4 linked regions of the Lonchura striata genome follow. The protein of the gene in region 1 interacts with the protein of each later gene in a pairwise test. Links are inferred from orthologs where the notes say so. Each region holds a gene or a part of one and is shown in the gene's direction. Other genes may lie near its edges. The genes, in order: CEP70, ATOSB, LAMTOR5 and DDX6.

The links.
Region 2: the proteins of CEP70 (region 1) and ATOSB interact in binary tests that used the Homo sapiens proteins (3 or more experiments, as listed by UniProt). The link is inferred for Lonchura striata from reciprocal best matches to the Homo sapiens genes CEP70 and ATOSB.
Region 3: the proteins of CEP70 (region 1) and LAMTOR5 interact in binary tests that used the Homo sapiens proteins (3 or more experiments, as listed by UniProt). The two-hybrid records come from large-scale screens. The link is inferred for Lonchura striata from reciprocal best matches to the Homo sapiens genes CEP70 and LAMTOR5.
Region 4: the proteins of CEP70 (region 1) and DDX6 interact in a two-hybrid assay, tested with the Homo sapiens proteins (2 studies listed by BioGRID and IntAct). The two-hybrid records come from large-scale screens. The link is inferred for Lonchura striata from reciprocal best matches to the Homo sapiens genes CEP70 and DDX6.

What each region holds. Positions count from the first base shown.
Region 1 is NC_134610.1:9,371,790-9,379,213, reverse strand, and holds the start of CEP70 (centrosomal protein of 70 kDa), read left to right. Parts: upstream 1-4,378; 5' UTR 4,379-4,456; coding exon 4,457-4,465; intron 4,466-4,898; coding exon 4,899-4,998; intron 4,999-5,151; coding exon 5,152-5,275; intron 5,276-5,593; coding exon 5,594-5,774; intron 5,775-6,090; coding exon 6,091-6,260; coding exon of another isoform or gene 6,261-6,264; exon of another isoform or gene 6,265-6,653; intron 6,654-7,355; coding exon 7,356-7,415; intron 7,416-7,424. Other genes in the region: FAIM (fas apoptotic inhibitory molecule 1), read right to left, coding at 795-1,023, 1,384-1,519, 2,151-2,194.
Region 2 is NC_134642.1:40,208,323-40,216,337, forward strand, and holds the start of ATOSB (atos homolog protein B), read left to right. Parts: upstream 1-5,014; 5' UTR 5,015-5,096; intron 5,097-8,015. UniProt on the Homo sapiens protein: Transcription regulator that may syncronize transcriptional and translational programs.
Region 3 is NC_134632.1:1,406,534-1,414,222, reverse strand, and holds the start of LAMTOR5 (ragulator complex protein LAMTOR5), read left to right. Parts: upstream 1-4,747; coding exon 4,748-4,782; intron 4,783-6,466; coding exon 6,467-6,528; intron 6,529-7,049; coding exon 7,050-7,167; intron 7,168-7,689. Other genes in the region: embryonic pepsinogen, read right to left, coding at 4,603-4,749. UniProt on the Homo sapiens protein: As part of the Ragulator complex it is involved in amino acid sensing and activation of mTORC1, a signaling complex promoting cell growth in response to growth factors, energy levels, and amino acids.
Region 4 is NC_134625.1:11,073,729-11,080,772, forward strand, and holds the start of DDX6 (putative ATP-dependent RNA helicase DDX6), read left to right. Parts: upstream 1-4,042; 5' UTR 4,043-4,185; intron 4,186-5,777; 5' UTR 5,778-5,862; intron 5,863-6,112; 5' UTR 6,113-6,376; coding exon 6,377-6,576; intron 6,577-7,044.

The sequences.
Region 1 (7,424 bases):
GTGAAGACTTATCTGTTTCTGGCACTAAAACTGTCTTTCTTCATTGCTTCCCTTCATCTTAGGGCAGTTCATTCTGTCCTGAGGTTTAAGAAGAAATCATAGTCTGAGATCTCTTGTCTCCAGCTCTAACCATACAGCAATACCCAAGTGGAAGTTTTCCCACTAGATGCCACAGAAAAATTCCTCAAGGGATCATCCCTTCCTCCCACCTGCTTGTAATGTAACTGGGAGAGAGGGGGCAGAAGAGAAACAATGTATTGGTAGTTGTAATTTACCATTAAGAAAGTGAAAGAACATCACTGGAGGGTTTTAGTTTAATTTTGTACATAAGAAGTGATACAGAAAAAAGGCTGTTCATCAATCTATCCACATGTCAAAAATGTGAAATAACATTGTTGCACTTCAGATGAAGACTTCTTGACCATGGCTGATGATTTTTGGAAGGAAAACCTGGTTACCTGCTGAACAAACTTAGACCCACATGAGGTTTGATCACAATGAAGGTAAAATTTTAACAGTCTTCACCTGAAGAACTGCCTTGCTAGGGCAGCTCTATGGATGCAGCAGCAGTAACGTCTCCCAAATCTAGACCACACTGCTGTAGACTCACACATGTATAACAAGTCATTACTTGTCAGACTATCTTTGGCATCTCATTCCAAATTTCCACATCCCCCAGGATTTTATACCGCATCAGAGCTACCCACTCAACTGTGCTTTCTTAATTACCAGTTTTTAAATGCACAGAAGTTTATTCACAGGCAGCAACATGTAGTCACTCAATGTTTACTTACCTAGAACAATTCTATAGTCTGTACCTCCCAAGTTCAATATCCAAGTATTGGTTGTTTTTAACCTGTTCTCTATATACTGCTTGAGACTCTTTCCATTGATCTCCAAAGTGTATTCATATGCAAAGCCACTGACTGCATCAATGTTAATAGCAGCTTTAGTTTTAGTAGCTCCAACAGTGAATGTTTCTTTACCCACTAATTTAAACATCCATTCTCTTCTTATTTCTTCCTGTAGAAAAAAAAGACAGTGGATATTAATTGAAAAAACTGAGTGCATGTTTTAATATTAAAAAATTGAACTGGAACTCGGGAGACAGCTCAGTACTGAACTACTGTTGGGGAATGAAAGCATACATGGTGCTTTGTATGCATAGAGTGCCCCTGTCCAAGGACAGCAAAGCACTTCATGAATACTCACACCTTAATTGGAACTGAAAAAAAAAGAATGATGCATGTTATTAAATTAGGTAATTAACTGAATGAACCTCACTCGCATTTATTAGTCTTTTGTTTGTTGTGATGTGTGTTGCATGGAAGTGTACTTATATAATCTGTATCACAGTGAATTTTGAGCACATAGCAATTTCACCTTTCCATCAACATAGACAACACGCTTTCCTGAAGTGGTCCCATGTTCAAATTCAATCTTATGAACACCATCACTTAAAGCTACTTCCCAAACAGCCACCAAATCTGTCATCTTCTCTAAGTGGCTGTACCGAGACCTAAGGAGAAACCAACAAAGTAAATTAATTGTTGTTGGAAGTCCTGATGTCTGCAGTTCAAAGCTTTACTGCTTCTTCTGCTTTTGTATTTGCATTTTTTGAAATACAAAATGACAACTGAAAGAATACACTTAGAGAACAGCTTATATTTTAATGTTTTTCAGACATTCAAATATGACAAAACATCACAAAATACAAACAGTTAAGCAGACTCATTCTGACAAACAGTACAAAGACACAGTTACCCATCTAACCTCTAAAACTCCCATTTCAGCTGACAATAGGTAACAAAATTACATTTAGTTTTAAGATACTCCTGGATAGTTCTGTTATTTCTTGGTAGGCATTAAAACATATTATTTGATTTGTGTCAAAGAAAGTGTTTCAGCTTTTTAGACTTGAAAAAATAGTCTAAAAACGATTTCCTGTGTTAACAGATTTGACTCTAATCTCATAAACACTACCTACATCATTCAGATATTCAACGCTTCACAGACAGACACAGGGGAAGGGATCTGGCAAGATATCCTTTTATTCAAGTGATTTTTAAAGTTTAGATACAGTCATAAGTGACCACTGGAACTGTGGATATCTTTCAAAATCTGCTCATATCACAGTTCTGATTCTTTACCTTACTTCATCGTCACAGACAGTAATCTCCTCACCGGATGCCATAGAAGCCAAAAGAGCTTTTAATCCAATTAGCAGCAAGAAAAAATAGAAAAGCAGAATAGTAGGAGAGAAGTGCTGAAGTCTAAAGTTTCACCATTTTCTCCAGCTAAGATAAAGGACAATTTTTAAAAGCATCATTAACTAGCGTGCAGTGCTGTCATAAATATGATAAAATAAAAACACTTAAAATACAACCATCTTTCTCTAAGACAGAAAGGCAAGTGTATTTAAAAAAATATTATATTTTACAAAACCAAGTAAGTGCTAGTAGAGTGTCCTACCTTCACTAGCTGCTCATAACTTTGTCAGTTACCGGACAGAAAAATGGGCTGCCTGATTTGTGAGACAAAGCTTAGAAATTAACAACTTGACCAAAGCAGGAACCTAATCCAGAGCTGCGCATCTCAGTCCCAGACCGTAATGAAACTGGGATTAGAAATAGCACAGGCAGTAATTCCACCTCCTCCCTTTTCTAAACAACTGTAGCAGCTTTCAACAAGCACATTACTAAATTTGACCTGGCAAATCAGTCACAAAATCTATGTGAGCCACAAAGAACTAATTTCTTACACGATGGTGTTTTATAACCACCGGTTTATAATGTATTTTTTTCACTCATTAATTTCATTATTATCTTGTCTGTACCTATCAACAAACAAACAGTGCTAACAAATGCCGAGGGGGTGTTTTTGGCCACTCCTGAAATTTCTGGTTCCTGCGAAGGCAGCATCACCGGGCACACGGTGGGAATCAGGCAGGGAATATTTCCCTCCTGTGCTCCAAGGAGAGGCAGGCAACATTTCCCTCCTGTGCTGCAAGGAGAGGCAGGCAATATTTCCCTCCTGTGCTGCAAGGAGCAGGCAGGGAATATTTCCTTCCTCTGTTCAAGGAACAGGCAGGCAACATTTCCCTCCTGTGCTGCAAGGAGCAGGCAGGGAATATTTCCCTCCCCTGCTGCAAGGAGCAGGCAGGGAATATTTCCCTCCTGTGCTGCAAGGAGCAGGCAGGGAATATTTCCCTCCTCTGTTCAAGGAGCAGGCAGGCAACATTTCCCTCCTGTGCTGCAAGGAGCAGGCAGGGAATATTTCCCTCCTGTGCTCCAAGGAGAGGCAGGCAATATTTCCCTCCTGTGCTGCAAGGAGCAGGCAGGGAATATTTCCTTCCTCTGTTCAAGGAGCAGGCAGGGAACATTTCCCTCCTCTGTTCAAGGAGCAGGCAGGGAACATTTCCCTCCTGTGCTGCAAGGAGCAGGCAGGGAATATTTCCTTCCTCTGTTCAAGGAGCAGGCAGGGAACATTTCCCTCCTGTGCTGCAAGGAGCAGGCAGGGAATATTTCCCTCCTCTGTTCAAGGAGCAGGCAGGGAACATTTCCCTCCTCTGTTCAAGGAGCAGGCAGGGAACATTTCCCTCCTGTGCTGCAAGGAGCAGGCAGGGAATATTTCCCTCCCCTGCTGCAAGGAGCAGGCAGGGAATATTTCCCTCCTCTGTTCAAGGAGCAGGCAGGGACTGTTCCCCGGCAGGGATCAGCACAAGGGGCGGCCCGGGGCTCGCAGGAGATGCCCGGAGAGTCTCACACACCAGAGCCTCCATCGCCCCGGGCAGGCCCCGGCGCTGCGGCGTGGATTGTAGGATCAATGCTGAAAGGGTTGGGAAGCATCCCAGAACACACTTTTTTTTTTCCCTGAAATCATGGTAATGAAGCAATACACATTTATTTCACACCGAGCCCGAAGGCTGACCCCAGGCCAGGGGTGGTTGCTGGAGGCGATCCCACCGCGTCCCAAGGGAAAGCCGTGCGCTGCTCCAGGAGGGACACACAGCAGCTGCACCCACCGCCTCCATTCCCTGACCAGCTCAGCAGCCCAAGGCAGTGCTTCCTCCTTTACACGGTTCTGAAAACGAGCCTGGGATTACAGCTCCCAGCCCATCCACCTAATCCCGGCAGCGCTCATCGCCGTACCGGGAAGCGCAAACCGGACGCCAGACGTGCTCCCAGCCATTACCGCCAGCAACAAGTTTTTCCCATTTTTCCCCAGTCTTTATTTTTTGCTCTCCTTAGCCCCACGCCCGGCCGCCGCGCTCCTACCTCCGCCCGCTCTCCTCCCCTCGCCTCCCGCGCCGCAAAATGGCGGCGGCCGCGCGGCGCCGCCCCCGCGCGCCGCTGCCGCCGCTCCGCTCCCGCCCGAGCGGCGCCGCGGCCTGAGCAGCGCCCCGCTCTGCCCCGCTCTGCCCCGCGGCCCCGCGGCCCAGCTCTGCCCCGCGGCCATGGCCGAGGTACCCCGCTGGCCCCGGGCGTCGCTGCTGGGGGGTTGGAGCGGGACAGGACGCGACGGAGCGGTCCGCGAGCCCCCGGAGCCGCCGCCGCCTCCCTGAGGGCTCCGCGCGCGGCGGGGCCGCTGCGCCCCGGGTGCGGTGGAGGGAGCCGCGGGTGGTGGTTCGCGTTTCCTAAAGAGGCGGATTTAACTCATTGCGCCGTGTTCTGCTTTCAAGTAGGGGTCAGGAAAACGGGTTATACTGTGTGGTGTTAAGTACGCGTTTCCCCAGTGTGCTTTGCAGATCGTAGTGGAGTTTCTCACAAACCCTCCTGTAGCGGCCCCCTGGGGGTTTGGGGTTGTTTGCTTTAATTTGTGGGCATTTGGTACCTTGTGCTGCACGGCCGATGCAAAGAACTCAGGTATCTGCCTTTTTTCCCTTTCTCCCAATGCAGCAGGAGAAAACAGAGTGGGAAAACTTAAACAGGGTATTAATGCGTCATGGGTTGAAACCTGTGAGCCTTGCTGCCCCCCAAAGCTGCAGAGGTACATCAGGTAAGGAAATGTAATTTTTTTATTTGGAAATAGTAACCCTAAGTTGATAAGGCATCTTCAAAGCTGTCACTTCCTAGTGGCTGCAATCAGGCAAATCCTCTTTGGCTGTTCAAACCCTTTCATGGTGACTTTGCTTATGTTCTCTGTCTCCAGATATGATTGTCCTAGACCATCAGTCTTCTCAAGAAATAAGACTTGCGTTACAAACGCTGGTGGAAGACACTGAGCGACAGCAAAAGGTGATGCAGGGACTTATGGAAGCAAATCGATGTCTTAGGTAAGACAGTGGAAGGAATTTACCTGCAGAGTAAAAGTATTATCAGTGTGCAACTCCAGCCTGGTGGAGATCTTATCTCACCAGAGGCCTAAGACCTTTTTCCTGAGGTTATTGTTCAATATGCAGCAATATTGTCCCAGTTCCTTTCAAGCTCTCCCCTTGTTTCATCTGCTGCTTCTTCTCATATCAGTGTATTTCCCACACCTGCTGCCACAGGATGTTATCAGAGGTCATCACATAATGTCAGGTGTGTGCTTTATGCACTGTCTATAGTGAAATGAGTTTAATTTAAAAGCAAGGATTCATTTCTTTTTTCAGAGATGTGGTACGACTGGAACAAGGTCGGGCATCTCGGCAAGAGCAACGGGCTAATGATTTGGAAAATGTGGTGAAAAACATTAAGGCCAAAATTTGTCAGCTGGAAGATGAAACAATAGCTAAGGCATGCCAGCAACAGAACCAAGTCAAGGAACTTCAAAAAGAACAACAGGCTTCACGGGTAATTCAGATAGTGCTGCCTGAGGATTCAAACTTTTGACTTACAGAAGATCTCAGAATACTTACATTGATCTAAATAAACATGACTCTTGGGTCATAGGGTTAGTACGCTGTTGATAGCTAAGTATTCTCAAACTATGCAGAATTTTCTAGAAATAATTTTGAAAAGTATCTGTATCTCTCTTAGACTGTCTCTTCAGCATGGCTAAAACCCAAATGCTCACGTTCCTTGGTTCCAGGTGTGTACCTGGGCTTGTATGGTATAGTCAGTGTGTGGGTCATTACAATTCAGTAACACTCCTGTTGCCTGTTCACAGGTAAAATACCAACAGCAGCAGGAAAAGCTGCAAGAACAGGAAGAGATTATTGCCCGCTTGCAGAAGGAGCTGAGGAGAGTTGGGAGGGAGGAGCAGCAGCGAGTTGACATTCAAAACAAAATGTTTTGTCAGTTTTGCAGAAGAGCTCCCAAGTCTCTCCTGGATCAGCGGTAAGTGATTCTCTTCTACTGCTGAATCTCTGCAACAGTAAATGAAGAAACAGATTTTAATGTAATGCTTCTCAATATTTATATGGCAAAAAGAAGTAATCTGGAGACTTTAGGAGTACAAGATGAAATATATAGTCTTGCGAAGGTACCTCAGTGCAGTGATATTTTTCTTTTGTGAAACTGTAAGCCAGATAAATCCATGGCAGAAATTTAACAATTGCCACCCACTGCCCACACTAGATGTCAGCAAAGGGAAGGGAATGATTCACTCTGCTCTGTAGCTGCAGTGGCTGGCAGCTAGGATGATCTCATCCTGGGATGCTGACATTTAAGTAAGTAAATTAAGGAAGTTAAAAATGAACAAACCCCCTCAACAAACAGCATCCTTAGCCCCGCCCCCCCCCCAAAAAAAGAGCCTTTCCAGTTTTGGGAAGTGATTGCAACTGCTGACTGGAGGCTTCCTGTGAGCTTCCAAGTACTTTTGGGTGAGTTCCCAAAGTGTCACAAGGCTTCGTCTCTTGCTAGTAGGATTTCCATAGCTCTGCTACAGTCAGACATTGGCCAATTCCTAAACCTAGCCATTGCTTTATTGTGCTGATATCACCTGGCTTTCTAGGCCTGGCCAACAATGTTTATCTGGGAAACTTTTAAGAGGGATTGTATGTGCTCAGCTTTTTCCTTGAGCTCTCACTGTATCAGAGGAAGGATCCCTAGATTTGGTTCCCTGTCGTCTCTCATGTGTCTCTCCAAACCAGACAATCTCTGAGTGCTCAAAACACTTTATTTTGACTGTGCCTCTCTGTTAATCTTGCTGGGTAACCACAGGCATAAGATGAGGACACTGGTGGGCAGATTTAACTTTTTTCTCCTCTTGAATATTTTGCTGCTTCTGAACTAGTACAGATTCAATGTGTCTACTTTTCCATTTTGGCAAAGTGTGACCGTGTTTTTCTGGTATGAGAGAAACTGCACTGTTTGGAGCAGCCACTTTCAAAGTGCAGTGCATTGTATAAGCTGAGCTGTTCATCTGGGTTGGTCACTATGAGTTTTGTGAGAATATCTGAAATTCAAAATTAACATTTTTCCTTTCTTCAGGTACCTATGTCTAATTGATTATTATGAATCTCAAATTAGTCAGATTAAAAAGAAGCTGAGGTAGGTCTC
Region 2 (8,015 bases), on another chromosome or scaffold:
TCAGTTCCTTCAGGTTTTATTTTTTTAATATTTTCTTTTCAAGGCAGGCGTATAAGAAATGAAACATTTCTGCAGGGAAGCTGTAGGGGGAGAGGCTTAGGCATGAAAAGAGAATGAGGGAGGGGACCATTCACATATCCAGTGTGTGGGGCCAGGCACTTCTCCCAGAGCTCGCCCAGATCACCGGCATCCTCTTCAGAGCACGTCCCTTATGCCACCTTTAATCCAAGCCCGTCCCACAGCTCCCCAGCTGCAGGTTGAGGCAGAGGGCCATTAAGTGAAGTCAGACTGTCTAGGACAATGGGTGACCCTGAGGGGTGAAGTGGCAGCAGTTGGAGCTCTACATTTCCAACAGTGAAAAGAGAACAGGGATTATTTTCCTGATGCTGAACAGCCACATGAAGTCCCTAGGTGTTGTTCCAGCCCTGGAAACACTGTGGCAGGGACAGGCAGGGACATCCTCAGTCTGACCTCCTGCTCAGAATGGGATGCAACCAACACAACATCATATTTTCTATGGCTTTGTACTTCAGAGATCCCTGCCCTGGGCTACATAGAAATTCTTCTTGCTGAGCAACCTTAGCCTGCCAAGCTGTAGCCAACAGCCTTTATCCCTTAGAACCCAGACTGCCAGCATCTCCAGGACAGATCTTTCGAGTTTTGTACATAGCCAGGACTCCTGTTTAATTCTGGGAAGTCCCATGTGTGTCTCAGACAACAGTGAAGTCTGTAGCACTGGGTTAATGACCTGTGTCAGACTCCAGATCATCCATCCTTTTTTCCTTGGTCTCTAAGGCCCACCATGGTACCTTGGGGATCACAATGCTGCCCTCCTCTACAAAGGTGCTGGGAGACAGCTAATAGGAGAGGCAACACTGGAACTATGAGTATAGTGTGGGTATGGGAGCAAAAGAGCAGCCCTACCTGGCCCTACTACCCTGTGTTTGTTAAAGTGATCTCAAATCCATCATTCTCACTTCTTCCTTTCCCACCAGGACTCTGAGACATGCCCAGTTTGGGATGAGGCTTTGGTGGGCACTGGGACTCAGTCAGCATACCACAGTGACTCCATCTCTATTGTGACCCCAAGCTCTGCTTGGAGATGTTACCAGAAGGAATTCCCACAGTGCCAAAAGAGAATGCCATCTCTTCCCCCGAGGGCAGTAGGACTCCCCCAGCAGGAAACTCTCCAAGTTTGATTTCTATCTTCAGTTTTACAGCTGTTTCTGTCAAACAGGTAAACCAAGCACATCATGGAACCAGGTTCTGGCGGGGGAAAGGTCCTGCAGCACTGGTTCACATTCCCCCAGGAAAATTCCCTAGCTCCAACACAGGACCACAGGGCACTACAGTGCATCTTCTCCTTGTGACAGTCTCAGAGAAAGAGGGACAGGCTTTGGCCTTTGTCTCCTCTAGTTGCAAAATACAGGGAGGACAAGAAGCATTAAACTCCACAGAGGCAGGCATTGCAGAAGATACAGTCCATGCTGCATGCCTAGGACTGGGACTGTGAGAGATACAAAAATGCAAGCCTTTTTGTGGCAACACACCGTTAAGAAAGGAAGTGACACCCTATGCTCCTCTAGTACACCTGTCTTTTCAGCTTTCTCCAGCTCCTCTACCAGCTGGGATGAGGCCATGAGTCACCACACAGTGCCTGGTCCAGCCCTGCCATTGATCCACACCCCACCCAACCTGCCACCACTTGCCAAGGGCCCCAAAACAACGTGATAGCTGATTTCCACCAGCTTCTTCCAAGGTCCTTTTAAAATTCCCAACAATCTCTTGCTGGCAGGACTCCAAGTCTTACCAGGCTTGCTTCTGCACATGGGTCCTTTATTGCTTTACCTACCTATGGACTTGGATCAGATGTACATGGTATGGCACAGCCTGCTGGCACGGGGAGTGTACAGGTGATGCAGGGGTAGCATCACCCCTATACAGGCACATCCTGCCCCATCAGCACTGACAGATGATCCATGTACTTCTCAAGGGCACTTTTGCAATTGTGAAACCTGCCCACACCAACAAAATGAGTGTGTGCATGGGGATGCCGCTCTTCCATGATGAAAACCATTAAATTAAATTAAAACTGGGGCAGGAACCTTGCTTGTGTCAGCTCCTCAGCATCCTGGAGCTTGGCACCTGACAGCCTTTTGAGTGGGAGCAGCCAGCCTGGCAAACAGGCTGAACAGCCCCAGCTCGCTGCAGGCAGGTTGGGGCAGCACTGGCAGCTCCAGGAAGGAGGTAACCCAGGGATGAACTCACCACCACTCAGTCACCTCACCAGGACACCCTTCAAAGGGAAGCCCTGCAGGCAGAAAGGCTCAAGACGGAAGGACGTCATTTCACCATGTGCTGCTTGGGACACCTCATCTTCCTGGGAAAACACCCTTCTCCCAGCCCTCCTGGCAGGCGAGTCTGGAAAGTGGCCAACTCTGGTGCAAAGCCATGCCTAATGTGCTTAAACCCCTTGTTTGCCTTCACCAACCCTTGTAAAGCCCTTTTCAAGTCCCCAGTGTGTGTAAGGAATAGATGAAGGCTACTCCTGGCAAGGCCTAGGGTGGGCCCCTCTGTAGAGAAGTAATATAGCTTGTGCAGTAAGTCTGCTCCATCCCCAAACCTCCCAAGCCTCTGGAAGTTTTTCCAGATGCTCTCCAAATCACCACAGCTTGTGTTACTGTGCCCATCAAGTGGCCATAGTTGAGGTTCTGCCCCATGGGAAGAGCAATGGGAGCAGCCTCACCCCATCAGACTGGTAAAAGGGGCTTTTGTGTCCTGCTCCTTAATCCTGCTTCTGAAGTGAGAACATGTTTCAAAAACCAGGGGAGGTTGCTAAGGGACAGTGTGCTCAGCAGGGACATCGCTCACAAACCCTCAGCACTCAGAAGCGGGAGGTAAATAACTTGGGATATTATTAATCCTTCACTGCCCACACAATAAACAGAAATGTATTATTCTTGTCAAGGACAAAGGAGCCTATATTTCCCCCCAACCAAGGAGCTGAACCAGCAAATTTTTTTGATTCAGCTCCACAGTGGTTCAGCTTTGACTGAAGTTGTTCCAGTTGAGTTCCTGTTCAGGCCAATAAAGGTTCATTAACCATTTTTTAACTGTGAACTCGTTTCAGCCAGTTTACAGTGGAGAACACAGCCTGTGTAAGCAGCTGTGTGATGGGGACTGAGCCTTTTTCAGCCCATCCCTGGTTTCCATAGCCTCTGCTGCCTTCCTGTTGGACTCCAGAATTTCTTGTCAGCTCAGCAGAGATGACATGCAGGGTCAAAAGACAGAAAAGCTAAATTTTGCCCTGGAAGTCTGTAGAAAATCTGCACTGTGAAGGAAAAATGGGCATGTGGGGAAAATGAGCTTCCTGGGCTCTTCCTGGCACCAGCACCTGTACACACAAAGTTTGAGTCAGCGGCTCCTAAGTCACAAGGAACACTGGAGAATCACATGTTCCTGTCATTACACTCAGAAATTAGACTGTTCCATACATTAAATACCTTTAGTGGCCCACAAGCTGAATGTGGGGACAGCCAGGGGTTATTTAACAAGAAATTGCTTAGAGCAGCAATCTGAGGCCCCAGGAGAAGATGGGGTCCTGAGTTGGCAGCTGCTGCTCCATGGCCACATAGCTGTCAAGAGGACATTGAGCTGCCATTTCTCCCTGCAGAGAGGCACGTGCAGGGCACGGCTGTCAGAGAACCGTCTGTCCTGCTCATGGCTATTCCCAGACAGCATCAGCACAGCTTTATCGATGACAGCACCTCCGAAAATAATGCCCCAGGATCAGCAGCAAGGCAAGGGGAGCGTTGGGACTCAGCAGCCAGTGCACTGCAGGTTCACATCCAACTCACTGTGTGCTGTCAGAAAAGGAGATCTTGGTTATATTTATCATTTGACGATACTGGTCCCCACTATTTTTAGAGTGGTGTTGCAGCTGTAGCTTCCTGAGGAGAGAGAAAAGTCGATTGGGGGACTGATCTTTACCGAACTTCACCCAAAAGTGATGAAGTCAAGGCATCTCTTCCATGACCTAAATGGCCCGTGGTCAGGCTGGTGAGCTGTGGGCTGCTTCCCCTCGGGGCAGTGGATCCTGCTGGCATCCCCACAAGCGGGTGGCACTGCCCAGGTACCCCACGGCTGCTGGGTGTTTTGGTATCTCTGAGCAGCCATATCCAGGGGGGCAGCTGCCCCCCGGGTCCGGTGCCCACGGTGGGCTCTGGCACAGGCCGGCACAGCCCGGCAGTGTGGGTAGATGGCCCCGGCCTGTGGGGCACCAGCACCAGCTGGGGAGTGGGGAACACCAGGGTGATTCCACTCGGGGCATGAGACAAGGGACACCGCGGGGGTCTCACTTTGGGGAGGCCATCTCCATGGGCAGGGAGGGTCATCTCTGGGGCTGGCACAGCTCGCATGCATGGTGCTGGGCGAAGGGTGACTGTGGAGTTGGGACATGCTGTGCCCGTGGGTGTGTGCACGGGTGGGACACGCCGTGGGGCCGGGGGCACCTCTGGGGTGGGACGTGGTAGGGACGAGACGGCTGCCCCTTGGGGTGGCTGTGCCCTTGAGTGGGACATACCGTGCCCGTGGGGCCGTGCCCGTGGGTGGGACACGCCGTGGCCGTGGGTGGGACATGGCGTTCCCGTGGGGCCGCTCCCGTGAGTGGGACACGCCGTGCTCGTGAGGCCGTGCCCGTGAGTGGGACACGCCGTGGCCGTGGGTGGGACACGCCGCGCCCGTGGGGCCGGGGTGCCCCCTCAGCCCGCAGGGTCAGGGGCGGCAGTCCCGCCCCGCGCCGAGCCAGGCCCCGCCCACGCCGCCGCCGCCGGCCAATGAAGCGCCACGCCGCCCGGGCCCGCCCCTTCCCCGCTGTCATCACACTCCCGCACGTGGAGGGGGCGGGCCGTAGGCGGGGTCTCGGCGCGGGGCTTCACCGCCCATTGGCCGCGCGGCCCCGCGGCTCGCCCGCCCCGCGCCCTGCCCCGCCCAGAGCACCAATCAGCGCGCGGGAGGCGTGTCCGCAGCGGCACCCGGAAGGAACGCAGGAGCCGCGCACAGTCGGGGCCGCGGCGGCAGCGGCGGAGGGGGCGCTGGTGGGTCCGGCGGGGCCGCGACGGGTAGGGCCGGGGGGCGCGGGGCACGGCCGGGGTCCGGCGGGGACGGGCCCCCCGTGCGGCGTGCGAGCGGGTTCGTGCGCCCCATCTCTGCCGCCGTCCTCCGGTTCCAGAAGGTTCGGGAGGGCCGTTGGGACCTGGAGCCCAGACCGCAGGGGCGAGCCGGAGCTGGGGGAGGCGCGACCAGGAGGGGCCGTGATCGGGTAGTATGGGGGAGGTCGTAAACTGAATGGGCAACTGCGAGCGGTGGGGGGCCTTGACCGAGATGTGGGTCTCTGTGCTGGGGAGGTCGTGACCGGGATGGGTGTCTGTGAGTGTGGGGGACTGTGACCGAGGTGGGGAGCTGTAGCCGGGGCACTTGGGCCGGCAAGAGGCCTGGCACCGGCGGAGGCTGTGGCAGGAGGTGCCGAGGCGGGGGGGTCAGGCGGCGGTGTGACCGCAGAGCGACTCTGGGGGGCCGGGGGTGCCCGGGGGAACTGAGGCTTCGGGAGGGCAGTGTCTGGCAGAGGCAGGTGTGGACCGAAACGGGGTGCAGCCTTTGCTGCGGGGTGTCCCCGATCCCGGCTCCCAGTTCCCCGGCAGCTTAGGGAGGCTGCGCTGCCCCTGGTCTCGCCCACCAGGGCCACGTCCTCTGCGCTGTGACATGGGCTGGGACAGCCTGTCTGCAGCTCTGCCCGCACGGTGGGGCCTCCTCCTCCTCCTCCTCTTTTTCTTCCTCCCGCGGGCATTAGCTCCAGCCCAGCTGGGACGTGGTGGGTTGTCCCGGCACGGCCCGCGGCGGTGGGGCCGGGTACCCCGGGGGCGCGGGAGGCGCGCCTCGGGCGGCACCCGCCCCGGGGTCCCTTCCCAGGCCCCGGCGTGGGGTGCGGGGTGGGCGCCGGGGCGGATGTGAACCCCGGCATCCGCCGCCCTCTGGTGACAGCCAGCCGCGGGCGGAAGGGCCTGTCGGGGGCACTCCCCTCCCGAAATCAGCAGCTGCCGTCCTACCGAGGTTTTCAAGCATCTTGCAGGTTTTATACAGAAACGGCAGCCCGGGTGTCAGGTTTGGAAAGGTGGTCTATTAGGGAAGTCAGAGGAAATGGCTGCATGGTGATTGCTGTTGAGGTGGGCTTGCTCACGACCCACCCGTGAACATAATCCATCAGTATGAACGGCACACACCTCCAGGGTTTCCACACTCCTTTTATTATTTTTCTTTGAAAGAAGGCGTGTGGAATTTGCAGTTGCAGTGGAAAATGCATGGTAGAGGAATGTTGTGCTCTAAATTTAAATTTTAAAAGTAATTTCCACTCATTGCCTTTTTAAAAACATCAGACAAGCAGAGATGTGCTTGCAGACCTGCCCTCTCCCTGAATCGTATCTGTTGGCATCAGTAAAGAGGAAAAGTTGAGAAATTGTGGAGATTGTAGCAAGCTTGAACCCTGACACAAAGCAGTGTCTTGGCAAGCTTGGTAGCACGAGGAGGTGAACAAGGTCCGGCAGGTGACATAGAAGAAAACTCCCAATGTGATAGTGCTAGAGTTACTTTTGGCAGGGCTGGGCTTTAGGTTGAGGACTGGGAGAATGAAGTCATCCTGTAAAGCCTGGTCACCGCCTTGTTTCACAGCAGCAATTCCCATGGTTTGGGTCTCAGCATGAGTGAGTGGCAGGGTGCTGATGGGGACTCTACATGTGCCAGCATGCAGTGCCAGCATGCAGTCCCAGCACTAGGGCAGGGCACTGGTGGGAGTTGGCAGGGCTGAGGGGTTCGGATGGGGCTGGTTCTGAGGGATGCTGCTGCCACAGTGTTTGTTGCCAGGGTGTCAACACTTGCCCTTGCCTGACCTCCAGCCCCTGCTCCCATAACATTTAACCGTAATACTGTATTCCTGCTGACTCTGGTGGGGCCTGGACATGTCCCTTCCCATAGAGACTAGGGTGGTCAGGACAGCAGAGCCCTGCTGTCACCACAACTATGTCCCTTGGTGAACTGGGCTTTTGGACCAAGGTCCACCCACAGTTGGAGCAGTGCTGGGGCTGTTTCAGCTGTACCACTCACCCGGGGTAGTGGGTGAAACGCCTTGTTTCTATTCCTCATGTGAGAGGTTTCTTACCCACTGAAGGAAGGAAATCTGGTGGGGTCACTCTGTACTGTGGGAACTCCATTGTTCAGAGCCGCAGCTTACTGAGGAGAAGTGCATCTTTGCCCCGGTCTTCCTCCTTGCTGTCTGCTACAGGCTGCTTGCCCTGGCACATTTCTGCATGACTGTGCTGAGTACCAGAGGCCTGAGATACCCGAACTTTGTTCTTTGAGTCTGAGGGTGATTGAAGAGGATGGCTGTTGATCTGAGTCTTCAAAGTCAAAGACTCTTGGCTCTTCCCAAGTCCTTTACATGTTCTTATTGCTCTGGGCCTGCCCAGGTTTGTCCTCTGCTAGATCTGGTTGACACCATTGTGTGATGTGTAGAAATGCACTATGACTGGGTGCCAGGACACTTCCTGATGCAGAATAAGAAAACCTGTTGTTGGTAAGTATGTGGCCACAGACAAGAAAGGAGAAAGTGAAGCCATATGGTTAGAAAAGTGGTGTCCTCAGCATGCTGTCAATGGAGCTGTAATGAAATTATCAGAGGCTTTGGTAGCTGGAGGAATTAATGAGTTGGGTTTGAAACAGTACAGATGTGAAGGGCAGCATGGGATAAATCCTGAAAGGAGATATTTGTATGCTGGCAGATGGTTTGTAACAGGTTACTTAGTGAGATTGTTGCAGGTTACTTTGTGAGAGTCTTCTCTGAGAGGCTTTTGCCTGATGTCTCTCCATGTTGCATGATTCCCAGGGACCTCCTTCTTCCAGGGATCTGTGTGGGCCTCTGTATCCTGGTAATGCCATATTACCATGTTTCTGATCCTCACTTCTGT
Region 3 (7,689 bases), on another chromosome or scaffold:
AAGAGAATTATAGACTAGAATAATTAGGGAGGAGAGAGGAGAATTAGAGAGGAGAATAATTAGAATAGAATAGAATAGAATAGAATAGAATAGAATAGAATAGAATAGAATAGAGGATATTCCCCTGCTGTTTGGAAACTATCCATGAAATTATTTTAGGTGTGGAACATTCAGAGCAGGATGTGGCGTGTGTGGGTTTGTGACACCTCAGCTGTGTCCTGCTCCTATCCCATCCATGTCTGGGTCAGATCCCATCCCAGCCATGTCCTGATCCCATCCCAGCCATGTCCTGATCCCATCCCTGCTGTGTCCTTGTCCCATCCCAACCATGTCCTTGTCCCATCCCAGCCCTGCCCTGATCCCATCCCAGCCATGTCCTGGTCAGGTCACATCCCAGCTGTGTTGTTGTCCCTTCTCAGTCATGTCCTGATCCCAGCCATGTCCCAGTCCGATCCCACCCATGTCCCAGTCCCATCCCAGCCGTATCCTGATCCCATCCCAGCCCTGTCCCAGTCAGGTCCCATCCCAGCTGTGTCCTGTCCTGATCCCAACCATGTCCTTGTCCCATCCTGGCCATCCCAGCTGTATCCTGATCCTATCCCAGCCCTGTCCTGATCAGGTCCCATCCCATCCCTGTCCCACTCCCATCCCAGCCCTGCCATGTCCCATCTCAGCTGTATCCCGCTCCTGTCCCAGCTGTGTCCTTGTCCCATCCCAGCTGTGTCCTTGTCCCATCCCAGTCGTGTCCTTGTCCCATCCCATCGCTGTCCCACTCCCGTCCCAGCCGTGTCCCATTCCCATCCCAGCCATGTCCTGGTCAGGTCCCATCCCAGCTGTGTTGTTGTCCCATATCAGTTGTGTCCTGATCCCAGCCATGTCCCAGTCCCATCCCATCCCTGTCCCGCTCCTGTCCCAGCTGTGTCCCACTCCCGTCCCAGCCCTGTCTTTGTCCCATCCCAGCCGTGTCCTGTTCCCATCCCAGCTCTGTCCTTGTCCCATCCCATCCCTGTCCCACTCCCGTCCCAGCCCTGTCCTTGTCCCGTCCCAGCCCTGTCCTTGTCCCGTCCCAGCCGTGTCCTTGTCCCATCCCATCCCTGTCCCACTCCCATCCCAGCCCTGTCCTTGTCCCATCCCAGCCGTGTCCTTGTCCCATCCCATCCCTGTCCTTGTCCCATTCCATACCTGTCCTTGTCCCGTCCCAGCCCTGTCCTTGTCCCGTCCCCGCCCTGTCCTTGTCCCGTCCCAGCTCTGTCCTTGTCCCATCCCATCCCTGTCCTTGTCCCATTCCATCCCTGTCCTTGTCCCATCCCAGCCGTGTCCTTGTCCCATCCCATCCCTGTCCTTGTCCCATTCCATCCCTGTCCTTGTCCCGTCCCAGCCCTGTCCTTGTCCCGTCCCAGCTCTGTCCTTGTCCCATCCCATCCCTGTCCCACTCCCATCCCAGCCCTGTCCTTGTCCCGTCCCAGCCCTGTCCTTGTCCTGTCCCAGCCCTGTCCTTGTCCCATTCCATCCCTGTCCTTGTCCCATCCCATCCCTGTCCCACTCCCATCCCAGCCGTGTCCTTGTCCCGTCCCATCCCTGTCCCACTCCCGTTCCAGCCGTGTCCTTGTCCCGTCCCGGCCGTTCCCGGCCGCTCCCGCCCCGCTCGGGCTCTCGCGGAGGAACCTCTCGCTTCACCTTGGAGCAGAACATCAAGCAGAGCCGGGGACTCGCACGTTCGGCCCCGGGCGGCTCCTGGCTCCGTTCCGGCGGGGAGGAGCTCCGGGATCAAAGAGCCCCGAGCTCCGCTCACCGCCACCGGGATCATTTCCCGGTCCCTGCCTCGCCACCGCGCATCCCCCGCGGGAGCTGGCTCCTCCAGGGGGAAATTACAAGGATATTTCCTAGGATAGTCCCCATTTCCTAGAAGTTAAAAGGATATTTCCTAGGATAGTCCCCATTTCCTAGAAGTTAAAAGGATATTCCCTAGGATAGTCCCCATTTCCTAGACGATAAAAGGATATTTCCTAGGATATTTCCTATTTCCTCGAAGTTAAAAGGATATTCCCCATTTCCTAGAAGTCAAAAGAATATTTCCTAGGATATTTCCTATTTCCTCAAAGTTAAAAGGATATTCCTTAGGATATTCCCCATTTCCTAGAAGTTAAAAGGATATTCCCCATTTCCTCGAAGAGAAAAGGATATTTCCCATTTCCTAGATGTTAAAAGGATATTTCCTAGGATATTTCCTATTTCCTAGGATATTTCCTATTTCCTAGGATATTTCCTATTTCCTAGAAGTTAAAAGGATATTTCCTATTTCCTCAAAGTTAAAAGGATATTCCCTAGGATATTCCCCATTACCTAGAAGCACGGGTTGGAGGAGAGACTTTTCCACCACACGGAGCCTCCCCTGACCCAGGGTGAGCTCCAGCAAAGCTGCCAAGACGTTTTGTTTCTTTTTGTTGTGGTGAGATCTGCTGGGAGAAAAGAATTTGTAATATTTTCCACCCAGAGATGTCTAAAAATTAAGCAAAACTCTCAAATTTATAGCACTTTCTGCCCATTTTCAAGCTTGTGGAAGGCCAGAGGCAGCTCATAAAATAAGGTAGTTTAATAAAAGAAACCCAAAACATAAAATTATATATTTTTGACAGTTTTATGAATTATTGTGGGGGTTTTTCTGATTTTTTTCCTCTCTTTATTGCCATGGGAGCCCTTCCTGGGGGGGTTTGGGTGCCACAAACTCACCGGCCTGGGGATGCAGCCTCCCCTCAGGAGGATTTTCTCTCACCAATAAAAAGAAAAAAATCCTGATGTAAAAAAACACAACCTAAAGAAATTCATCCTGGTCTTGGCAGTGTTTTATTTTCACCCAATTTTGGATGTTTTTGACGGGGGGAAGCAAGCACAGGGAAGTTTTTGCCTCAAACACCAAATAACGACTTCACAGGGGATGGAAATGCAGAGCCTGCCACAGCCACACCTGGGGGGCTTCACAAATAAACTGGAATAGAAATGAGTACATGAAACAAATGAATGAATGAATAGAGAAATAGAAGAAATAAATAATAAATAGATTAATATACTGTAATGTAATATAATGTAATGTAATTATAATATAATATAATATAATGTAATGTAATGTAATGTAATATAATGTAATATAATGTAATATAATGTAATATAATATAATATAATATAATATAATATAATATAATATAATATAATATAGAAATAAATAGATACCTAGATATATAAATAAGAAACAAATAAGTAAATAGGAACAAAAAAACAAACAAATAAAAATTGGTGATGTTAGAGTACCAAAACCCCCCAAACTCCCCCAAACCCCACTGGCTCCCTTGCCCAGCTCCCACCTCCACAGATTTTCCAGGAGCAGCTCTGCACACACCCCAAATTAAACTTTGTGATTAAGTCTTGCTTCTGCCTGAAGGGAAACTATCTCTTTATTTGGTGTTTTTTTGATGTAAATGCTGATTTTTTTTAAAATTCCTTCTCTTTCTTTACCATGGCTGGGGGTGGCTGCAGGCAGCAGATAGAACTGGGATTGTGGTGTGGAGTTGGTTAAAAGTGTGTTAATATTACAGGGTGGAAAAGTCAGAGTTTGGGTTTTAGAAATTAGCAATAAATATGGAGCAAAATAGAAGTTTTAGGGTGAAGGCTGCTCCTTCTTCACCTTCTCCATGGGTTTGGCTGGTGTTTTGTAACTGGACAGAAAAGTCCTCTTCAAGGGATTAGTTATTGGGTTAAAAGTGAAAATAATGCAATTATCATTTCTTAATGAGATAACTTAGCCTTAAACGAAATTATAACAAGGGACAGTTAATAATTTTGTACTTTGCTAATAAAAACCTGCAGAACTTGCTGCTGTGAGACCGTAACATTGGTAAGGAATAACAAACTCCTGGGTCTGAACACGAAATGTCGTCTCAAGTGCCTTCGATGCCCCTCGGAATTTTGTTTTCCCCTGTACACAACTGAAAAGTGTAAAAAGAATTAAAGTCAGGTCTCCAGCAGCCCTGCTCCGGCTGATGCTGCTGAGCCTCACATCCCAAATTTTACCGTGTGCCAGGATAAAAAAAAACCACAGGAGGAAGCTCTTGGCTTCTCACATCCACCTTCACTCTTCAAATTGCCTCAACCTTGATTTTTCCTGGATAAAATAAAGAAGAACTCAGGGCAGCACCCAGGAGCCAGCACCTCGGGAAAGGGATTTGTGACTCCACGCTCGCAACGCGGCGAGTCCGGGAGCATCATTCAAACCGCGGCTGGGTTTCCTTCGGCGCTGCAAGCCCCGGGCGGCACGGCGGGGCACGGCGGGGCACGGCGGGGCACGGCGGGGCACGGCGGGGCTCGGTACCGGCGGGGGCACGGCGGGGCTCGGTACCGGCGGGGGCACGGCGGGGCACGGCGGGGCACGGCGGGGCACGGCGGGGCACGGCGGGGGCACGGCGGGGCTCGGCGGGGCACGGCGGGGCTCGGTACCGGCGGGGGCACGGCGGGGCTCGGTACCGGCGGGGCACGGCGGGGCACGGCGGGGCACGGCGGGGCACGGCGGGGGCACGGCGGGGCTCGGCGGGGCACGGCGGGGCTCGGTACCGGCGGGGGCACGGCGGGGCACGGCGGGGCACGGTACCGGCGGGTGCGGAGCCCCAAGAGCCGAGCTCCCCGCGGAGCCGAGCGCGCCCCGAGCGCTTTTGGCCGCGCGGAGCCGCCGTACGGGCGGAAGTGCCGGAGAGCCGCCATGGAGGCGACGCTGGAGCAGCACCTGGAGGAGACGTGAGGGACACGGGGGTGGGAGGGACACGGGGGTGTGGGGGGGTGGGAGGGACATGGGGAGTGTGGGGGGATATTGGGGACGTGAGGGACGGGGGTGTGGGGTGTGAGGGGTGTGGGGGGTGTGAGGGGATGGGAGGGACACGGGGGTATGGGAGGGGTGTGAGGGGATATGGGGGACGTGAGGGGCACAGGGGGTATGGGGAGATATGGGGGATGGAAGGGACACGGGGGTGTGAGGGATATGGGGGATGGAAGGGACACGGGGGTGTGAGGGATATGGGGGATGGAAGGGACACGGGGGTTTTGGGAGTTGTGGGGGGATGTGGGGTATGGGAGGGACAGGGATGTGGGGTATGGGGGTACGGGGGACATGGGTCATGTGGGAGACATGGGGGATGTGCGAGGTATGGGGAGCGTGAGGGGACACCGGGGATATGGGGGGTATGGGGGACATGGGGGACGTGAGGAGACACGGGGGGACACGGGGACGTGGGGATGTGAGGGGTGTCAGGGGATATGGGGGATGGGAGGGAACGGGGGTGTGGGGTATGGGGGGTATGGGGAACATGGGGCATGTGGGAGACATGGGGGATGTGGGAGGCATGGGGGGTGTGAGGGGATACGGGGGGTATGGGGGACACGGGGACATGGAGGACGTGAGGAGACTGGGGGGGACACGGGAGATATGGGGGACATTGGGGGATGTGAGGGGTCTCAGGGGATATGGGGGACGTGAGGGACAGGGGTGTGGGGTATGGGGGGTATGGGGAACATGGGGGATGTGGGAGGTATGGGGGGTGTGAGGGGACACCGGGGGATGTGAGGGGACACGGGGGATGTGGTGACACGGGTACGTGGGGGGACATAGGGACATGGGGGAACACAGGGGACATGGACACAGGGGGACACGAGGGAGATGGAGGGTATGGGGGGACATGGAAGGACTTGGGGACGGGGGGACGTGGGAGGGTTATGGTGACATGGGGATGTGGGGGGTCAGTGGGGATATGGGGAACACGGGGAGACATGGAGGGAGATGGGGGACTTGCAGGGACTTGGGGACATGGGGGAACACGGGGGATATGGTGACACGGGGACGTGGGGGGACATGGGGGATGTGAGGGGACATGGGGGATATGGGGGGACATGGGGGGTGGGGGGGGGACATAGGGGATATGAGGGGGCACAGGGAACATGGGGGGATATGGGGGAACACGGGGGGACATGAGAGGACACAGGGATATGGGGGGGACTCGGGGACAGGGGGACACAGGGGATACAGTGACACAGGGACAAGGGAGGACACAGGGACATGGGGGACACGGGGGGATATGGGGGGACACGGGAATACAGGTGGATGTGGGGGGACATGGAGGGACTTGGGGACAGGAGGATATAGGGGATATGGGGGACACGAGGGGATATGGTGACTTGGGGACGTGGGGGGACAGGGGGGGCACAGTGGGGATATGAGCAACATGGGGGACATGGGGGGGACATGATGGGGGCACAGGAGCCATGGGGCGGGATATGGGGGACGTGGGGGACACAGGGGATATGGGGAACTTGGGGGGGCATGGAGAACATGGGGGCACACAGGGGGATGGGGCACACGGGGCCGGGCCAGGGGCACCGGGGCTGTCCCGGGCTGCGCTCCCGGCTCTGAGGCCGCTGTCACCCCCAGCATGAAGAGCCCGGCCGTGGTGGGCGTGCTGTGCACCGACTCGCAGGGGCTCAACCTGGGCTGTGAGTGAGGCACCGGCGGGCGTGGGGGGCACTGGGGGGCTCCTGGCACTGCCCGGCCCCTCCAGGGGCTCCTGGCACTGCCGGCCCCTCCAGGGGCTCCCAGGGCTGGGGGGTCCCGGCGCTGCCCACGGGGGGTTGGGGTGCTCCCAGTCCTGCCCGTTCCCTTTGAAGGGCTCCCCGGGATGGGGACACCACCCGGCCCTACAGACCCCCCCTCCCCAGCTGTCCTGCACCAGTGCCACTCTGGGGACACCTGCCCTGCCACCACCTGCCTGTTCCTGACAGCTCACCTCGGGGTTTCTGGTGGAGGGAGAGGAACTATTTGGGGAGACACTGAGTCAGCCCCCAGGGAGGGATATGGGTCAGGGAGGGAAATGGGTTGGGGCAAGACCAGGGAGGGAAACAGGCCAGGGAGGGAAATGAGCCAGGCAGGACCAAGCCCCTCGGCCTGGGGGGACAGTCAGCCTGTCCCCAGCACTGCCCTGGCACAGGGGGTGTACCCAGCCCTCCCACCCCTGCAGGCAGGGGAACCCTGTCGGATGAGCACGCCGGCATCATCTCGGTGCTGGCCCAGCAGGCGGCCAAGCTGACCTCGGACCCCACGGACACGCCCGTGGTGTGCCTGGAGTCGGACAGCGGGTGAGGCCCCAGCCTGCAGCTGCTGCTGGCCCCACCTTGCCTTGCCCCAGCCCTGGGAGACTCCTGGAGTCACATCCCTGGAGCAGCTGTGGGGAGAGGCTGCCACAGGCACAGTCCCTGGGTTAATGGGGATGTAAAAGAAGCAGGAAACCTTCCAGGGGCTGCTGGTTCCTGCAGCTCAGGAGCTCTTCCCCCTGGGGTCCCTGTGGGTCACAGAGCCTGGGGTCCCTGTAAGTGACAAATCCTGGGGTCCCTGTGGGTGACAGAGCCTGGGATTCCCTGTGGGTGACAGAGCCTGGGGTCCCTGTGGGTGACAATCCTGGGTCTCTGTGGGTGACAATCCTGGGTCCCTGTGGGTGACAGAGCCTGGGATTCCCTGGGGATGACAGTCCTGGGTCCCTGTGGGTGACAGAGCCTGGGATTCCCTGGGGATGACAATCCTGGGTCTCTGTGGGTGACAATCCTGGGTCCCTGTGGGTGACAGTCCTGGGTCTCTGTGGGTGACAGAGCCTGGGATTCCCT
Region 4 (7,044 bases), on another chromosome or scaffold:
GCTGTAGAAGTGAAGCAGCTTGTCCACTGTTACGGATTTTCCATGTGAATCATTCCCTTCTAGTCAATGCCAGGGCTGGGAGCAGCAAATCTCATTTTGAAAACCTCAGAACTGTAATTGCCCACATCAATACAATATACTGACAGAGCTTCTGCTCATGACTTCTGCAGGGGCTGAACCAGGGAAATCCAGGAATAAGACCAAGGCCTGTGGAAATTACATGTTACTGCAGTGTAGGTGCCTTAACGCTCTTGAGTCATGGTGGTCCCATTGCAATGAAAACTGGGCCAAGGAACCTCAGGGAACCTAGTATAGATCTCAGTGGTTTTTCTGCAACTTGTTTTTGGATGTCTAGTCCGCAGATGAGGAAGGTTAGCAGGCAAAGCATTTTTGCTATGGAGAAATGGGGTTATCATTTTGGACACGGTACTTTTCTGCAAGGTTACAGAGTCAAAAGTCTCATATGATAACAAAATTTACGTGAGGCCCTCACTGTATTCACTGTGTGATACTGAGATAAATGCCCTTTTGGTGTAAATGTTCTCATAATTTTTCCTTCCATAATTGCTCAATTGATCAAACGATCCTCTCTGCACAAGGCAGAGTTTGTGTTGCCACCTTGACAAGACACTTTGGAGGCCTTTTTTTTCAAATCTTTATGGGTAGGTTGCTGCTACAAGCACTGAGTATAAGTAAAGCAACATATGCCACCACCAAAGCAAATACATTGATGCTCATGTGATATCTGCGGCCTCCCTATTCCAGGGAGGGAGCCAAATCTGGGAAGCTGCCAGAAGACAGAGGTGGGAAACAACACATATCAAACTCCCAACTGCAGAAGTCTGAGAAAAGGTCTAAAACTCTTCCTGCTGTGGCACCTGACTGTGGGTGTTTAGTCCTAAAATCAGCTGGGTTCTGCCACCCAACCCTCCACTCACACGGGGTCTTCTTTATTATGTAAAAGAATTCACAGCAGAGATAAAATCACAAAGCTAAGGATTATGTAAGTTTTGTATGCAAAGAAAATGAGATGAAAAAGGTTTGAGTTTGGTTTTAACCCCTCAGGAAATTTTAGCGCTGCCACTGAACTTCAACAGAGGTCAGGGAAAGAAGTGTCTTCTCCAAAAGAGTTTTAAAGGAATGACCACTATTTGCCAAGGGTTTTTATACTGGATGAATCAGAAAAGAAATAAATAGGGTAGGGCTTGCTCTTCCCTGGTGTGTAGGAAAAAAGGAAGAACAGAAAATCAGGTAACAATTGAATCCAACATTTCTCTTTTTGGAATAATTAATCCTGAGGTCTGCTGCAGGGAGCCACTGTAGTAAAAAAATAAATTCTGAGATGCAATATTTGATAACCAGGTTAATGATAATGCTGCTGTGTTCTTCCCGTTGGATAGCACAACATACTGTATAAGGTACAGCTGCTCTTTTTCACTTGTAAAGGCTGGGAAGAGAACTAAGGTAGAATACCTAGTGTCATCACTCTCTGTTAGAAGTAGTACTTGCAATCTATCTCCCACTCTTTAATCCTGTCTTGTAAATACACTGCGTGTTCCCCTTTCAGCAGAGTATATGTGGAGCCATATGTATGGAAGCCTGTATGTGGAGCAAGTAAGCAGGGTGGTCATACCATACCAAGGGTTTTTACACACGTAGAGAGAAGACTGGGTTTGCTTGGGTATTCCAGTTGTCAAAGGAGACCAGAGAAGGTGTACAGGGCTTTGCACACTGTGTACACAGTCATTTGTACTACTGAAGCCTGGTGCAAAAGGTTCCTGGCTCAGAATAACTGTTTTATGCCCATGTTGTGCTAATGGCTGTGCAGACAGCAGGGCAGCAGGAAGCAGAGGCAGGGAGAGGCTGGCAGCACAGGATGGGACTGCTGGAGCCCCACTCTGGCAGAGACTCCTGACCCTTTGCAGAGACTCTGGTCTGTGTCCTCATGAAAGGACAGTACTCGGGCTTAGTGCTTGCTAGTACAGGTTCCGTTAGCTTTCCCCAACAGAATACCCAGCATCCCTGCATCACAGGCTGGAGCCACACTACGCCAGCTCTCTGCAAGCAACAGCTTGTAGTCAAGTCTGGATTTAAGGGATGCAAGGACTAATTATGCTGGCATAAGAAATGGCTCAAGCTCTGCCTCTGCCAACAGGAGGGTTAGAAGATGGATGGCCAGAAATCTGGCCTTTCAGCCCACCCTAGCTCTACCTGCCATCCCTGTTATCAAGCAAAGCCAGGCCCAACTCACCAAGTCATAGGTCTCTGATGAGTAGCTGACAGGCCCCATGGTTTGAGGGGCACGATCCGTCTCTCCTCCAGAAATTGCTGCAAAAGTTATTTTCTGAGGTGGAGTTAACAATTTAAGTGAGTGGGGAGGGACACAGACTGTAACAATAGAGTATTTGCAAGGCAAATGAGCTCCAGGCATAGAGTGACCTGATTGATGTAAAGATTAACATCTAGCTTTATAATCTTTTTACTAGTGCTGTAATTGATTTTTAAAGTAGAGTTTGAAGAGTCCCTATTCCTTTGATCTATACCACAGAAGATCCAGAACATATTTAGGTCTTCCTTGGAAACCTTGCCCACAGCTGTCTTTGTTACAGGTGGTCCAAAAGGCTTTGAAAAGTTCTGTGCTAAGGACCACCCTTACCAGAAACCTCCTGGATCCAGGCACTTCTCTGGAGCTGTGCAGGACTTTGAAGCATGGGTATGGTCTGTATGATCATCACCCTCTGCCTTGGGGTCCTCCTGGCTGCTTTAACCCCACTGACTTGTAGTGGTCTTCTGCTCCTCCTTCTGCTGCTTCACCCCTCCTTTGGGCTTGGGGGGGGGGGGGGGTGTGAGGTGGCTTGCACAGGAAAGCAAAGCCTTGCAGCTACTCTGCAAGTCTAGAGCAGGGCTAGCAGGGGCTAGGCAGCTTGACTTCACAAGGGTAAGTAAGGAGAATCAAGATCTTCTCTGCTTGGGGAAAGGCATTTTGTTCAGTGATGTCACAGCAACAGACTCACAGTGGTCTGGGTCAGCAGAGTAGGTTGGCATTGCAGCTGGCATTTTGGCAGAAAGCTTTACCTGTGCGCGGAGCTGAGGTGGTCTGCCAAGCACAGTTTTTGTCCTCCTCTCGTCTAGGTACAGCTGCATCAAGGCGTCTCTACCAGCAAGGACTCTGGTGGGACTTTGTACTTGTGAAGGAGAAGGTGGTGTTATTCCCATGAGCACTGCTGGATTACACCACTCCTGTTTCTTAGACCCCGACTTGTTGGGCACCAGCTGCCCCGAGGATGTCGCTGTCCTCCCATACCGTGAGGACCTCTGTGTGCACCTGCAGGTGCTCATCAGCTCCTGGGCATTTTCTGCTGACAGGATGGAGAGCAGCAGACCCGGAGGGAGGCCACAGGGAGCTTGCACTGTGCCTCACTCACAGGCAGAGCACAGACTGAGCAAGCCCTGTCCTGAACCCCGTGCTGCGAGGGCTGAGGGGCAAGGCGAGGAGTGGGGTATCACTGGGAGACGAGAGGCCAGGAAGGATGTTTGCAATCAGCTACAACTGGAGGGTGGAGCTTGTGCCTTTTGCTGCTGAGGGTGGAAAGACAACCACCTACAGACTGCTGGAGCTGTGAGGAACTAGATAAAACCAGGAATGTCCCTGTCCTTTTGCATGTATTTTGGAAAAACATTTGAAGAAAAAATTGTCTGCAAAGCAGTCACTACTAAGATTACATTCCCACTGTGTCTCGGTTTGTCAAAATCCACATCTAAGTAACAGCTATCTAAAGAGAAATGCCAATCCCCAGCTTGTCACGGTCGGCGGTTACGACTCCTGCAGGCTGTGGCTCAGACCCCCGTTGTTAGGTTTGTGTTGGCTCTGTTTTAACGGCAAAGCCCGGTCAGCTCCCCGGGTCAGAGGGGAGGGCCGGCTCTGAGGGAGGGGACGAGCGGCCCGCCCTCGAGCGCGCTGGGTGCGGCGTGACGCACGCCGAGCGTACGGGCGTGCGTACGTACGTACGTACGTACGTACGTGTGCGTGTGGGCCGGGGCGGGGCCGGTGCCACCCGCCGGGAGGGGGAGGGCGCACAGGAGGAAGGAGGAAGCCGCCATCTTGGAGCGTCGAGTCGCCATAACAAGGCACCGGGGGAGCGAGAGGATTTTGTACCTGGGCGAGGGGGAGCGCGGCTGGTGGCGGTGAGCACGGGCCAGGGCGGGCGCGGCTCCGTGGGATCAGGGTGAGGGGGCCGCTGCCGGCGGGCCGCGCCTCGCGGCCTGCGGCGAGAGCGCGGGCCTGAGTGGGGCCTGGCGACGCCGCGGGCGGGGCGGGGACGGCCGGACCGGGCCTGGGCGCACCGGAGCGGCGGGGCCGGGGCACCGCGGGGGCGGGGCCGGGCGGCTCTCGCTCCCCGCCGGCCCGGGCGGCGAGGGGCGGCCGCTCCATTGTTCGCGGGCGGGAGGTGCCGGTGTGGCGCAGCTGCGATCGGCGGGCGGCGCCGGGCCCGCCGCTCTGCCCCGGGGCTCTGCACTGCGGCCCGGGCTCATCGGGCGCGCTGAGCACCTCGAGGGCTCCCTTTGTGCCGGGCCCAGCCGGCGGAAAGGGAGAGGTCCGGAGCTGCTGCCCTGGCCGCCCGCCTGCGCCCGGAGAGCAGAAATATGCGACGGAGGCCCTTTTTTTTCAGTCCGTTGGTTTGCAAAATGGTGGCGGTTTTTTTATCGGAACAGGGAGATTTTTTTGGGTTCCGTGAGACTGTGCGGTTTTTTTAACCTGTGCTCTTCAAAAGGATAGTTACGAGCTTGAAGGCATAAGGGACTGAGAGGTTTCATTTCCTACACCATTGGAGAACTTATCGGTGTTAGTAGTCGGGTCTCATTGGCGTCTCTGGCTGCCTTCGTAACTCCTCTGGTTTTTACGAAGTTAATTGCTAAAAGAAGTATCTTTCCGAAGATGCCTTGAAAGTTAACTAGCAGAAAATCCTAGTATCGCAAACTTTCCAATGTTGCTGGAAGCCAGCACTAACACACCTTAAAACAGCTGGGAAGTCTGAATTCCTTTTCCACTTTCTTGAAATGCTCTTCAATATGCTTTTTTATTCACAGGGAAGACATGCATTTTGTTGTGAATGCAGAGGTTAGGAAGCAGTAGTCTGCTGGTTTTCCCTTTGTGTTTTCCCAAGATGCAGATGCTCAAGGCGAGCCTACTTTTCATTCCAAAAGATTTTGGACTAGGGACGTTTTGTCTCCCTGGTATCATTGTAAGGAGTCTTTAGCTCTGGTCCATACTTGCATTATGTAAGAGGCAGACTACGTGTTGTCTTTCCATAGTTTTGCAACCTCTCTATTACATACAGTGTCAATATTAAGTCATGTGTATGAAATGTTATCTTCTGAGGACCACACAAGTTGTTGCTGACAGTGGGAAGGTAAGATCACAAGCAAGAAGCTGGGGAACCAGCAGCGTTGCTGCCTCAGTTCAAGCTCAGTGGCTTTGACTCCAAGAGGCAGCTGCTCTCAGTTCAGTGTAATGGTGTTGGTTTGTCGCTCTTCTGAATAGCCTTAAATCAATACCTGGTTGAAAACTGGGGGTAAGCTGGTTGAGCTAGCATTTTGGGTTGGAGGAATGTAAGCTGTTGGTTTGGTTTGCATAATCTATATTTCCCATTCAAACCAAACAGGGCAATTAGTTTATAATGTAAGGGTTTTGTCAGTTCTAACTGGAATGTCCGCTTGATATTGTAGTCTTGCTTCTTGTCACAAATTTACGCATAATATTGTTGTTCACGTTTTAGGGCTGGTTGGCTGCATCACGGAAGTGGGGGAATTGGAGAGCCATCAAAGCAATTGATACACTTAATGGTTACTTTATCAGAGGGGGTAGGTAGTGGAAGGTCGCTGAAAGTACAGCTGTTTGGGAAGTTTTCTTTGATGTCTGAAGATGTTAGGCAACATTTTCTAGAAAGACAAAAAATGTTTGATGCATGTCTTTATAATTATCACGAAAACGGCAAGTACTGTTGTTGCACACAGTCTGGAAGAAATTTTTCTTAAAATACAAAAGTAAACTGATGTGATTTGCACAGAGAAAAATCCATATGCTAATTGTTATTGTCTGCTTCTCTTTCAGATTGAAGCAAGTGAATTGTGATATAACTGAACTTCAATAGAGGGCTTTTTTTAAAAAAAAGTTGTTCCACAGTGCATCAGAGCAAGTTACTGCTTTACTTTTGAGTGACTTACAGGTGCTTGCCTGCATTGCAATAAAGGACTCATATATTGAGCAAGACTTATTTATCTCTTCATTTTGGAGAGTCTAATAAACTGTTATTACAGTTTCTGTACTGACTTTCAAAGTTTTGAAGTCTAAAAAGACATCTTTAAAGATAAAAGCATGAGCACGGCCAGAACAGAGAACCCTGTTATAATGGGTCTATCCAGTCAGAATGGGCAGTTGAGAGGCCCTGTAAAACCCAGCGGGGGCCCAGGAGGTGGAGGCACACAAACTCAGCAACAGATGAACCAGCTGAAAAATGCCAACACAATCAATAATGGCACTCAACAGCAAGCACAGAGTATGACCACCGCTATTAAGTAAGTGTTTGTATCGGCTGCCATGCAAGGAATGTTTAGAAGTTATGTATGGGAAAGCATTCTTGGATTCCCACTTTGAAAATGCTGCCTTCTGTTTTGTCACATGGGTGGTTAGAAGTGTCCTGTCATGTGCATTACAAGTATTTCCACATGTGAGCTTCTCTCTTTAACAGTAATTTTTGTGAAAATCCAATTTGGTCCTGTGCTTTTCTGAGTGTGAGCCACTGTCAGAGGTAGCCCAGCTTTTGAATCCTGTGTTTTTTGCTTGCTGGAAGTGGTGCAAGAAGGAAGTATAGGAGTGGGAGGGAACTGAGCTGACGTTTAAGACTGAGGAGGAAATGCCACCTGGTCTCAGTCTAATTGTTTCTGCCTTTCAGTTTATTGTAATTCTTTCCCATGGTGAAAAATGCTTTAAAGTCAGTTATCTTCTGTTATTGATCTGAAATAGTAGTTCCTGATCTCCTCATT